3 linked regions of the Danio rerio genome follow. The protein of the gene in region 2 interacts with the protein of the main gene of each other region in a biochemical or structural test. Links are inferred from orthologs where the notes say so. Each region holds a gene or a part of one and is shown on either strand. Other genes may lie near its edges.

What was found.
Region 1: the proteins of mapk8ip3 (region 2) and mapk10 form a complex in vitro, tested with the Homo sapiens proteins (3 studies listed by BioGRID, with this or other methods). The link is inferred for Danio rerio from reciprocal best matches to the Homo sapiens genes MAPK8IP3 and MAPK10.
Region 3: the proteins of mapk8ip3 (region 2) and mapk9 form a complex in vitro, tested with the Homo sapiens proteins (2 studies listed by BioGRID). The link is inferred for Danio rerio from reciprocal best matches to the Homo sapiens genes MAPK8IP3 and MAPK9.

Annotation. Positions count from the first base shown.
Region 1 is NC_133196.1:10,935,617-10,939,992, reverse strand, and holds the start of mapk10 (mitogen-activated protein kinase 10), read right to left. Parts: upstream 2,820-4,376; 5' UTR 2,610-2,819; coding exon of another isoform or gene 2,607-2,609; intron 1-2,606. UniProt on the Homo sapiens protein: Serine/threonine-protein kinase involved in various processes such as neuronal proliferation, differentiation, migration and programmed cell death.
Region 2 is NC_133178.1:14,655,034-14,658,690, reverse strand, and holds part of mapk8ip3 (C-Jun-amino-terminal kinase-interacting protein 3), read right to left. Parts: intron 3,127-3,657; coding exon 2,965-3,126; intron 1,189-2,964; coding exon 1,042-1,188; intron 1-1,041.
Region 3 is NC_133196.1:35,030,206-35,033,862, forward strand, and holds part of mapk9 (mitogen-activated protein kinase 9), read right to left. Parts: intron 1,243-3,657; coding exon 1,077-1,242; intron 981-1,076; coding exon 909-980; intron 1-908. UniProt on the Homo sapiens protein: Serine/threonine-protein kinase involved in various processes such as cell proliferation, differentiation, migration, transformation and programmed cell death.

The sequences.
Region 1 (4,376 bases), on a different chromosome or scaffold from region 2:
CTGGCCTAAGACACATATTTTAAATGGGGCTGGGCAAATAGAGAGAAGGATACTGATCCAATATGAATAACTTACTAAGCAAACAAGCCAGCTAATAAATATAGATAACAGTAATGTAGTGGACTACATTGGTCAAGATACTATTCATTACAATAAACTATTGAGGTAAAAGAGTCAAGTCCTTGAAAAAACATTGACAGAGAAGAATTGTTTGCTGAACCGTTCAAGCCACATGGAGACAAAATACCGGCTTCTCAAGGCTTTGTCCTTCAGCAGTTCCCTCACAAAATCACTCTCTTAATCCTAATCAAAATGTCAGCGTACCTGGAGAATACGAGAGTTCAGATGATCGCCGCAACCTCTGACACTGAAGCGTGAGGCGAATATAACCAGGGTACCCAGTGTTGTGGGATTTAACAATATACAGACACAATGGAACAGCCTAATTAGCCATATGGGGTTGTTTTTTGGGGGGGCTACGGATGATTAGTCCATGGCCGTCCCTTAGAATATGCATAGCGCTTTGCCAAAGCCTGCAGTAATTGGCTCATTTTAACAGAGGATACCACAATGTGCCATTGCATTAAAACAAAAGCACAGATTATTAAAGCACCAAGAAATATTTCAGCATATGTCAAATTTCCAGCTTTAAAAAATAGGCAAGGAAAGCCTGAGTGGCTTTTTTTATAGATCTGACATGAATCTTTGATAATGGAACTCTTTGTGTATTCCTTTTGCTTTAATTAGTTTACTGTTCTCACAAATGCAATCGGTTTTGCAACAAACTGCACAAATGTTTTATGCTTCTTTTTTAAACTTATTAAACAGTACATTGCTCCAAATCATTTTGCTTTTGTCATTTAATCAGTAAATTAATGCATAGCCACTTTTACTCTGTACCAAATATATAAAAATATATATATAATATATATTTGGCACAGAGTAAAAAAGTAAAAATACATGTACAGTACATGCACTTTTGAATTATTCCACATAGTTTAATAAAAAGCATAACATATAACGCATAAAGTGGAAACCGAAATAGTCCAAAATACCAAATGGAAAGATTGTTCCATAGTGTGAAGCACTCAGTTGATAAAATGAAGAGTTTAGTAGCAAAAACCTCTAAATGCCGTCTGAAATTTTCCTCTAAAATGATTTTTATCAGGCTCCTGTGTGTATGTTTAGTAGTATCACTTTTATGGCAAAGAATAATTCTCTTTTATGGTCTTTGAAGAGAACTAACTCAACATTAACAAAGGAAGCTGAGAAAAATGTTTATTTTCAATGGAAATTTCAGACGGCACTTAGAGGTTTTTGCATCTAAACTCTTCATATGTAAAATGTTTACTGCTTTATGACACTTTAATAGATTTACACCTCTATGGTAGCCTTCCTAAAAATATAAAATAAGATAAAATAAATATTCAACATCTTAGACCCCAGCATGAACTCAAATATGCATCAATTGCAGCATAAAGCATCAAATGCTAGAACTATTGATTGAAAATAAATATGATTATTAATATCCTATTAATTCCAATATTGCTTCATTGAGAATAAAATGTCATATTGTATCTTACGAAATTTTCAAAAAGGCAAATGTATTTTATTTCAGCTCACAATACATAATATAAATAACTTCAAGTCAATATATTAATGTAATGTAATGTATAAACAAACATAGCCACTTCTGCATCAAAACATTTATATAAATGCCCTTTTGGAATTTTAATAAATTTTGAAGTTATTATTCCATGCAGTCTTATGAAACATTATGCACTAGAGTGCATAAAAATCATTACATCCTGTGATGTTCACTCAATATTTCTTGATATCTCAAAATGGAAACCAAAAATATTTATTATAAAAAATGCTCCATCATGCATCACACATCTAAAAACATCTAAACATGTTTTAATGTTTCATTTCATGCATTTAATATTTAATTGTTGTTCCTAAATAGTGGTTATCCAACCATAATTGGGAATAAACTTCAAATTTGATCAAACTGTGTCAAAATGAGGTGTGTTTTAACCCTGCTTCCTGTTATTCAGGCTTCCAACGTGAACTAAATAAATAAATAAACAAATTACCATATGGCCCATCTCAGACTCCAGCACCTATACACTTCAGTCATCTTAAAAACATCAAATGCGAGACATATTGTGAAAATATACCATATAAAGTATTTTACTAGCAATTCTGCATTTTTTGAAATGCAACATGATATAATATTGGAATCAAACATCCGAAACGCATGTAAATGAATCGACTTTTGCGTAATCACGTCATTGTTGTGACTCCAGATTCCATCAATCCATATTCTAACAAAGGCCTGCGGTCCCTGAAAACAGGACATATGATGATGCAGGACCGCGAGTGATGCAGGAAAAACACGGATGGACGTGCGCTCGCACTCGCTCAGATCTGGTAAACACCGGAGAAATCCTGCCATTTCGGACATCGTTCGACCTTCGTGACGGATCATTTATTTGGCTAAGCCGCGAAAGCATCGACTTCATTAACCTTCATTTCGATCAATATTCATCACCCCACCCTTCAGGTTCCCGCATCAACATCTCCCCACCGACCGACCGACCTACCATTCCGTGCCAGCTGCCCGTCCGATGATCCCGGTCCGGTGACAGTCCAGTCCTGTTCAAAACATCCCGGCAGGCGAATCTTTTAAAAACCACTGTATCAAACAGATGAAAAGAAAGTCTAACGCTGGATTAAAGCCTGAGTTTGCGATGCTGAATCACTGCGCGCTCACCATTGTGCTGCAGGATGATGCCTGTACCATTATGGATCCTACCAGCGTAGTGATGGCAAAACGGGAGGAGGAGGAGGAGAGAGTGGGGGGTGCGGGAGACGGGTTGCCTGGCAACGGGAGGGAGCACACGATGACGTCAAAGACGAGAGCGGTCTCATAGGAGTGAGGAGGAGATGGAAAGGAGCGGCGCTCTGATCGCGCATCTGGAGATTGGCGGATCTTTGCGCACATGACCGCCGACTGCGTGTTTGGAGGCGGGCAGAGAGACAGAGCGAGGCGATTCTTTTGAAGCGATCGGTTCGTTCGAAGAATCAGTTAGAATGAATCGCCTCACAGGAGACTTAGGGGGCGGCTATTAAAAAGTATAACTAAAATCGAATCTAGCGTGTTGTTATCTGGATATGCTTAAAATTGTGAAAATTGTAAAAGCAAGATCAGAACGAGTGAATTAAACAGTATGATATTCTCAAACGATTAATTTTGGTCAAATTTTAGTTTTTTTTGCTCTGGCACACATTGCACTTTTAAATAAATGAACAAACAGAGAAACACACGAAAAAAAGACAAAAATTAGAGTTCAATTGTATGCAGCAGTTATAAATCAATGGAAAGTAGGCTAACATACTCATATGTTATGGTTATTATACTGTAAATATAACCATTTAATCCAAACTATTTTCGAGCATGCTCGAATTAGAAAAACTGACAACGTCCATACAGCAGTACCTTGGACTTTGCCAAAGCCTGCAGTAATTGGCTCATTTTAACAGAGATGTGTTTTAGAGTCACAATGTGCCATTGCATTAAACTAAATGCACAGATTATTAAAGCAACAAAGAAACATATGTCAGATTTCCACCTTCAAAAAAATAACTAAATGAATGAATGAATGAATGAATGAATGAATGAATAAATAAATAAATAAATAAATAAATAAATAAATAAATAAATAAATAAATAAATAAAAATAGGCAAGGAAAGCCTGAGGGGCTTTTTAAATTTCTTATTTGACATTATTTGTCTTTGATATAGGAACTCTTTGTCCAGTTCAGTCAATTTTATTTTGCTTTAATTGGTTTACTCTTTTCTTCAGTGCAGTCCATTTTGCAACAAACTGCACAAATGTTTTATGCTTCGATTTTGAGCTTCTAAAACATTACATTACTCCAAATCATTTAACATTTGTCATTTAAATAGTAAATGAATGCATATGCGATTCTTTTAATCTTTGCTGAAATATATGCATACTTGTGTGCATTATTACAGATGGTTATTAAACTGGAAATATTAATCATTAAATCCAAATTATTTTCAAGCATGCTCGAATTAGAGATGACAAAAACGTCCATAATGTTGTACCTTTATTACTTTTAATTCATTCCTACCTTAAAGTTCTTTCCTGTATAATCTTCCTTTAAATTAAAAGAATCGGTTCAAATGAACGATTCAGTCGCGATTCACTCGCGAATTGAGTACTGCCTTGTAAGTGACACAAAACACTGCACCCATAGTTTGCATGTATGTTTATCCTGGATATCAATGTTTTTTTCTATATAGAATAGCTATTGTTAATATAAAAAAATAAGCTTATACATTTAGA
Region 2 (3,657 bases):
CATATTAGGAGTCACGAATAAAAGTAAAAAACAACTCTATCTTAGTTTCATTTCTAAACGTTCTAATCCCACGAAATCTGCAGAAAGTCACGTCTGGTCCAAGACCCTCCCACGGAGAATTGTCAGTCTACATCGATCGATGATTGGCTCCTGTACTAAAAGGCGGGGCTTCATTCACCATATTGATCGTTACACTTTCTCCCATTCAAAACTATACGAGTGACACTTCTTGGGTATTCTAGAGCCTTTGTTAGTGTTAAAACAGTCTAATTGACACTGGAATAAATGAGTTTTTGAGGCTATTCCACTAGCATCAACAAGCTTTTCCCTTTATTTAAAGTGTAGAGTCTGACATCCCATTCACACGGGGCTTCAGTGTCAACGCTTGACAAGGGGGAAGGTCTGAAGTTGGGGCAGACGCGATCGTCATAGCAGCATCGGCCAATGAAATTAGTCAGCAATTGGCTACTGTCTGAGGTGGTGTATTTGCATACAGCGATCTGATTGGCTGATGCTTCTGTCGGCGCTTGAAAAGTTGAGCAAGTCCCAACTTCTGCAGCGAGTAACGCCTCTGAAGCGGCAACCGACGGATCCACAATGCAGTTTGGCAACGCCTGACGTCATCCATTCAAAGTGAATGGGAAGCGTTGAAGCTGGCGCCCTGTGTGAATGGGGCGTCAGTGCTGGTTTTCAGTCCTATAAGTTTCATAGCATTTCAGACAATTTTAAACATATTTAATTTCAAATTTACAGAAAGATTACATTATAATCCATAACTGATAACACTCTCAAATACAGACTGGTAAAAAAAAGAATACACGATTTTCTTAACACCACAATCTATGCAAAACATTAAGCCTTTAGTGGAGTTTTTCCCCTCAGATCCAATTTGCATGAGTGTCCTATGTGAGAGACGAATCTATGCGCACACCTAAATACTTACATGATTGCACCTGAATAATTTTCTGATTATGTACAAACACTGGCATGTGATTGACATTCATGCATGCTAATTTAGCTTGTGTTGTTTTTGCTTCTCACCGATGCGGAAGTCAATGTAACCCTCGCCTCCGCTGAGCACCAGCACATTCTGAAGACTCTGTGCTTCTGTTTCTGCCGGGGCCGAGGACCCCTGAGACTCTGATGGGCTGTCCAATACGCTGCCGTTCAGTGTGGCCAACACATTGCCTGAAAAACACACAACATCAGATCGTTTATGACTGACCAAATTATTTCCAGAAGAACTATATCATGCATATCATGGCGGGGGGGGGATTTTACTTTCCGTTAGCAAAGGCAAGCAAAAACATGATGAAAATGTGCTAAATCAATCGCTGTAAATATATGCTAGCAGAGTGTTAAATTATGCCAGAAAATTGCTACAATATTTCTGATAGTGTAAAATAATACAAGAAAAACACTACGACAACATGCTGTCAGAAGGCTAATTCAATGTAGCACTGTACAAGAAATCAACATGCTAAAAACGTGCTAAATTGTGCTTGAAAAATGCTAGCGGTATGTTAAATAATGCTAGAAATGTAATCTTATCAAAGTGCTAAAACATTAACAGTATTAAATCATGTTTGGTACATGTTTACAATACACTACTACAGCATGTTAGTAATATTAATCGTGCTAAGTCATTCTAGAAACGTAATGTTATTAAAGTGCTAAACAATAACAGTTTTAAATAATGTTAATGTTTACAATATACTGCTACAGCATGCTAGCAGTGTTAAATGTGTGCCAATTGTGCTATAGAAACATGTTAGCACTTGTTAAATCATGCTAGAAACTTAATGTTATCAAAGTGCTAAACATTAACAGTGCTCAATCATGTTAGTTACATATAATGTAATGTAAGGTGTATTTATATAGCACATTTATTGTGTATAAGCACTTTACAATCATAAGGGGGGGGGGGGGGGGGGGGGGGGGCGGTCTCTCCACACCACCACCAGTGTGCAGCCTCTACTTGGATGATGCGACGGCAGCCACAGGACAACAACGCCAGTGCGCTCACCACACACCAGCTATTGGAGGAGTGGAGAGACAGTGATAGAGCTGATTCAGTGGATAGGGATGATTGGGAGGGCTGATTAAGGGCTCCTGCTCTTTACGAAAAAAAGGATTTTAAATGACCACAGAGAGTCAGGACCTCGGTTTAACATCTCATCCGAAAGATGGCGCCCACTGACAGTATAATGTCCCCTTCACATGTTAACAATATACTAGTACAGCATGCTAGAAGTGTTAAACGTGTGTTAAGTCATGCTAGAAACACGCTAGCAGTGTGCTAAATCATGCTAGAAACATGTTATCGAATTGTTAAAACTAACAAACTTTAAACATTTTACTTACATGTTAACAATATACTACTAAAGCATGCTAGCAGTGTTAAATGTGTGCTGGGTCATGCTAGTAACATGTTAGCAGTGTGCTAAGTCATGCTAGAAACATGTTAAGAGCAGATTAACATCATTAGTTTTGTAGTTATACTAGAAATGTACTAAAACAGGCTTTAAACGTGCTAAGTCATGCTAGAACCATGTTAGCAGTAGCTAATTCTTGTTACCAATATACTTCTACAACTACAGCATGCTAGCATTGTTAAATGTGTGCTAAATCATGCTAGAAACATGTTAGCAGTTGCTAAATCATTCTATGCTAGAATTCTATTCTATGCTAGAATGATGCTATCAAAGTGGTTAAACACTGTTAAATAATGTTAGTTACATGTTACCAATATACTACTACAGCATGCTAGCAGTGCTAAATGTGTCATGCTAGAAACACATCAACATGCTAGAAACATGAAGGTAACATGCTAAAATGCTAACAATTCATGCTAGAAACATAACGTCAACAGATTAAGTTATACTAAATAGTTTTTTTCTGTATTACTATTATTACTATTACTGCAATTTACTTAGATTAAATAAGGACATAACTGACACTAACCTGGCACTGACACAAAGAACTTGACTGCATCTCGATGTCCATGGAAACAGAGTTGCGCCTGTGCCATGGAGCAGTATGGGATGAAGCTGCTCTTCTCTGAGGTGCTATCATCTGCATATACATGGATCACGCCTCCTGATGATGTAGGCGACACCTTATTGGCTGCAACAGAGCAGAATCCACCAATCAGAAAGCAGAATGTCTAGAAACTCACTGGGATTGTGAGCATGCAAATTAATACATGAATCTGGTGCAGAAGAAAACAAAGAGCTCACAGCATGCACACTAAAGAAACCAAAGGAACATGACCACAGCATTTGAAATAAATGAAATGAAGATAAACTGATGTTATATGAGATAAGCACAGACGGAAAATTCATTCATAAAGCATAAAACCAACAACAATAATAGTTCATGGAACTATCGTATACATTAAAAGAAGACCTAGGTGTTCATCGAAATCTTCGTTTCTCTTTGTTTTTGGAAAAAAAAAGAGTTTAACGGTTACTGAATTTCGTTTAGTGAAAGAGATTTATCAGACAAATATGTGTGGATTTACGTTTACAGATTTATATTTTCATTCTTGTTGAAAAACTGGTACAAGTTTGAGTAAATAGTAAATATCTGTTTTATTTTACGAAGATCTATGAAAATGAGTCAAAATGTTGTCATTTGTTACAGAAAAAAAATCTT
Region 3 (3,657 bases), on a different chromosome or scaffold from region 2:
ACCGTTTTTGCAACAAATTATTTCTCATTCTACTATTGTCTTTCCACAAAAGAAAGAAGGGCATACAGCATTGGTAAACAGTACTTTTTGCTTTTAAATTACCTATTCCCTTACTGAATAGAACAGACAATGGAGAATAAAAAGAAGATTAAGTATGGTTAATCAAAAGAATGGCCAGAGAGGAAAAGTTTGCAGAACTATTCAGAGGAGTAGTGTGTGGTTTAATTTATCAGATGAGGGTTTCACAGACCTCTGGAGGATCATGATGGAATTGCATGCAGTTATTACTAGAACAGAATAATGCATTGTACAATACAAGTTAAAAGTGTGGAAACATTAATGTTTAAAAAAAGTCTCTTCTGCATGCAAAGGCCAGATTTATTCGATCAAAAACACAAGTAAAAAAAAAATTGCTAAAACAGCACTCAGATTGAGATATTAGTTGTATACTGTGTGTTTTAAAATGTACTTTATTTGTCTGATGCAAAGCTTAATTTTAAGCATCATTGCTCCAGGCTTCTGTGTCATATTATGCTTCAATATTCATCTAAATATGTTCCTTTAAATAATTTTTCAAAAAAGTTATTTAGGGTATTAATGTATTTATAAAGGAAATTAAAAATGAAAACATCATCTGCTTCACAGTTTGGGGACAATTTTATTTCACTTTAATAAACAAGTTGAAAACAGTTACTCTAAATGTAAAAAAAAATAAAATAAAATAAAAATTCAGTTTTTAAATTTTTTTTTAAAGTTTTTATTGTATTTTTGATCAAATAAATGCAGATGAATATATATTTGAAGAGCATATTTGAAAAACTAAAACATAAAACTGACATTTAAAAATAGCATTGCAAAAAATGCAAGCTTAACTGCTTATTTTTCAGGTTTTAGAATTAAGTGGATACGATCAGTGCCCTGGAATATGACGCTCCCTTTAACCATTTCGCCCATGATGCAGCCTACAGACCAGATATCCACTGCAAAAAGACAATCAAATATTAATAACACAATTCCATTTCAATATCTTCATTGGCTCTGAAGGGCATTACCGCCAAAAAAAAAAACAGCATTACCGTTCTCCTTGTATTTCATGCCCAGGATGACCTCTGGCGCTCTGTAGTATCTGGTCACTACGTAAGGTGTCATCATAAAATTAGTGCAGGCGGTTCTGGCCAGTCCAAAGTCTAAGATCTTTAAAGTGCAGTCGGACTTCACCACTATATTACTGGGCTTCAGATCCTGAATAGCAAAGAGAATGCAATCCCATACTGTCATGCTGAAAGACAATCTCACACATTAACACAATGAAAGGTCTCAGTAGTTTAAAATTCACTTATTAAATCAAATTATTAGACTTTATTAGGAAATTTGGGGTTCTCTCCTTGAATATATGGAATTGTGTACTCTCTGGATGATATATATTTTTACATTCTTTCCTACTGTGACAGCTCATGTGACCAGGCTTTTAATTTTAGGTTTAAACAATTGTTCTGGTTGGCATTATTTATTTATTTATTTATTTTTATTTTTACAGTTCTAAGACATAAATAGATTTAGGGGTCAATGATTGTTACAATCATTTTGGATCACTTACCTCTACATGTTAAAATCAAGCAGCAACCTCCTGCTCTCCCTCGTGAAGCAAATACGGAAGTAACTGAAACTGCAATTCATCGAAATTCCGCTATCCCTGGCTCTATGTGGAGCAAATTTCTTTTTGAGCCCACTGTTACAATGGCCAACTTTACCGGGAAAAAAAGGTGTTTACAGCCTGGTACAAAAAACAGTTTTGGTTCATATAGCTGATATTACCCTTCATAACAACTGAGTTTTTTTTTTTTTATCTCATCGGTTTCATTTATTTTAAGTTATATTAAGTTTGCATAATTAAGGGTGTGGCCATTTGAGTGACAGCTAGGTCTCGCTGGTCGCCATCACTCCACCTCAGCTGATTCCGACTGATTAGCTGCTAAACTCTGCATATACATAATATTTTTGTTTTGTTTTATGTGGCTTTGCAAAATCAGTTGCCTTTTGGAATTATTTCTTACAATTATTAGATGATATGGCATGCTGTGTGCACTTAATTGTGCTCACAAACCATTCACGTGGCCTCCATTTCCCAGGTGAGTAAAATTCTAAACGTATATACCATATCTATAAATGTATTTGTTTTATTTAAAATTATTTATCATTTATAATGTTCTTTAGACCTGTAATGCACTCCAGAATCTGACATATTGATTAACTGTAGGCTCCAAAATTAAGTTTACATTGTGAACATTTACTACACAAACCACTAACTTGTAAATCTGAACCATTGCAAGTTTTTTTCATGTCTCTCATGTTACTCTTAAGCCTGTTTCAATCTTCAAAACTGAAAATAATTTTACCGGTGTATAGCCTATGGTTTATGGGTTAGTGTTTTTAGAATAATGCCTTAGAGCTATGAATTTTTCAGAAAAAAAAATGTAGACATGGCCAAGACGATCTGCTGATCTGCCGTTCAAACAGAGCAACAAAATGGGGAAGAAAGGCGAGTTAAGTGACTTTGAACATGGCTGGTCTGAGTATTTCAGAAACTGCTGATCTACTGGGATGTTCACGCACAACCATCTCTAGGGTTTACAGGGAATGATCAGAGAAAATATCCAATGAGCGGCAGTTCTGTGAGCGCAAATGCCTTGTTGATGTCAGAGGTGAGAGGAGAATGGCCAGACTGGTTTAAGCAGATAGACAGGCAACAGTAACTCAAATAACCACTTGTTACAACCGAGGTATGCAGAGGAGTAAATCTGAACGCACAACACGTCGAACCTTGAGGTGGATGGGCTACAGCAGCAGAAGACCACACCAGTTGCCACTTCTTTCAGCTAAGAACAGGAAACTGAGACTACAATTCCCACATGCTCAACAAAATTGGACAATAGGGTATATGCCAAGCTAGTGCTGTTCCCATGCTGATACACTTCCGGTGACCTGTTATTAAGAACTTTCCATAATTTCCATTTTATACGGTTCCTTTTACAGCATCGATGTTGTAATGTCATTAAAATACATTCATTTAAATATACTTTAGCATTTATTTGGTTGCTCAAGCAAAACGAGACAAAAAGCTGTTTACTCGCACGCACCCGTCAGAATCGGCAGGCTAACGCAGAAGCTCCATTGAATATACTGGGGTAAAATAAATGCTCATATTATAACGATATGGCTGGGGAAATGTAATTTAATGCAGTGCTTCTTGTACAATCTGAGACCCACTTTAAATCGGATATCACTCAGTCAGTGAAGATCGCTCATTTTTAAAGAAAACAGACCTTAAACGCACCGGATTTTGCATTGGCATTCAATTCGCCGGAAGCGCTTAACCCAGGTTATTGGCAAATTAAAAGTCCTATTAGCATGCTTCGGCATATACCCCATAGAAGATTGGAAAAACATTGCTTGGTCTGATGAGTCTCGATTTCTGCTGCAACATTCGAATGGTAGAATCAGAATTTGGCATCAACAACATGAGTTCACTGTACTCAAATGACCTCCACAGTCACAAGATCAAAATCCAATAGAGCACATTTGGGATGTGGTGGAACGTGAGATTCGCATCAAAAATTTGCAGCTGACAAATCTGCAGCAACTGTGTGATGCTATCAT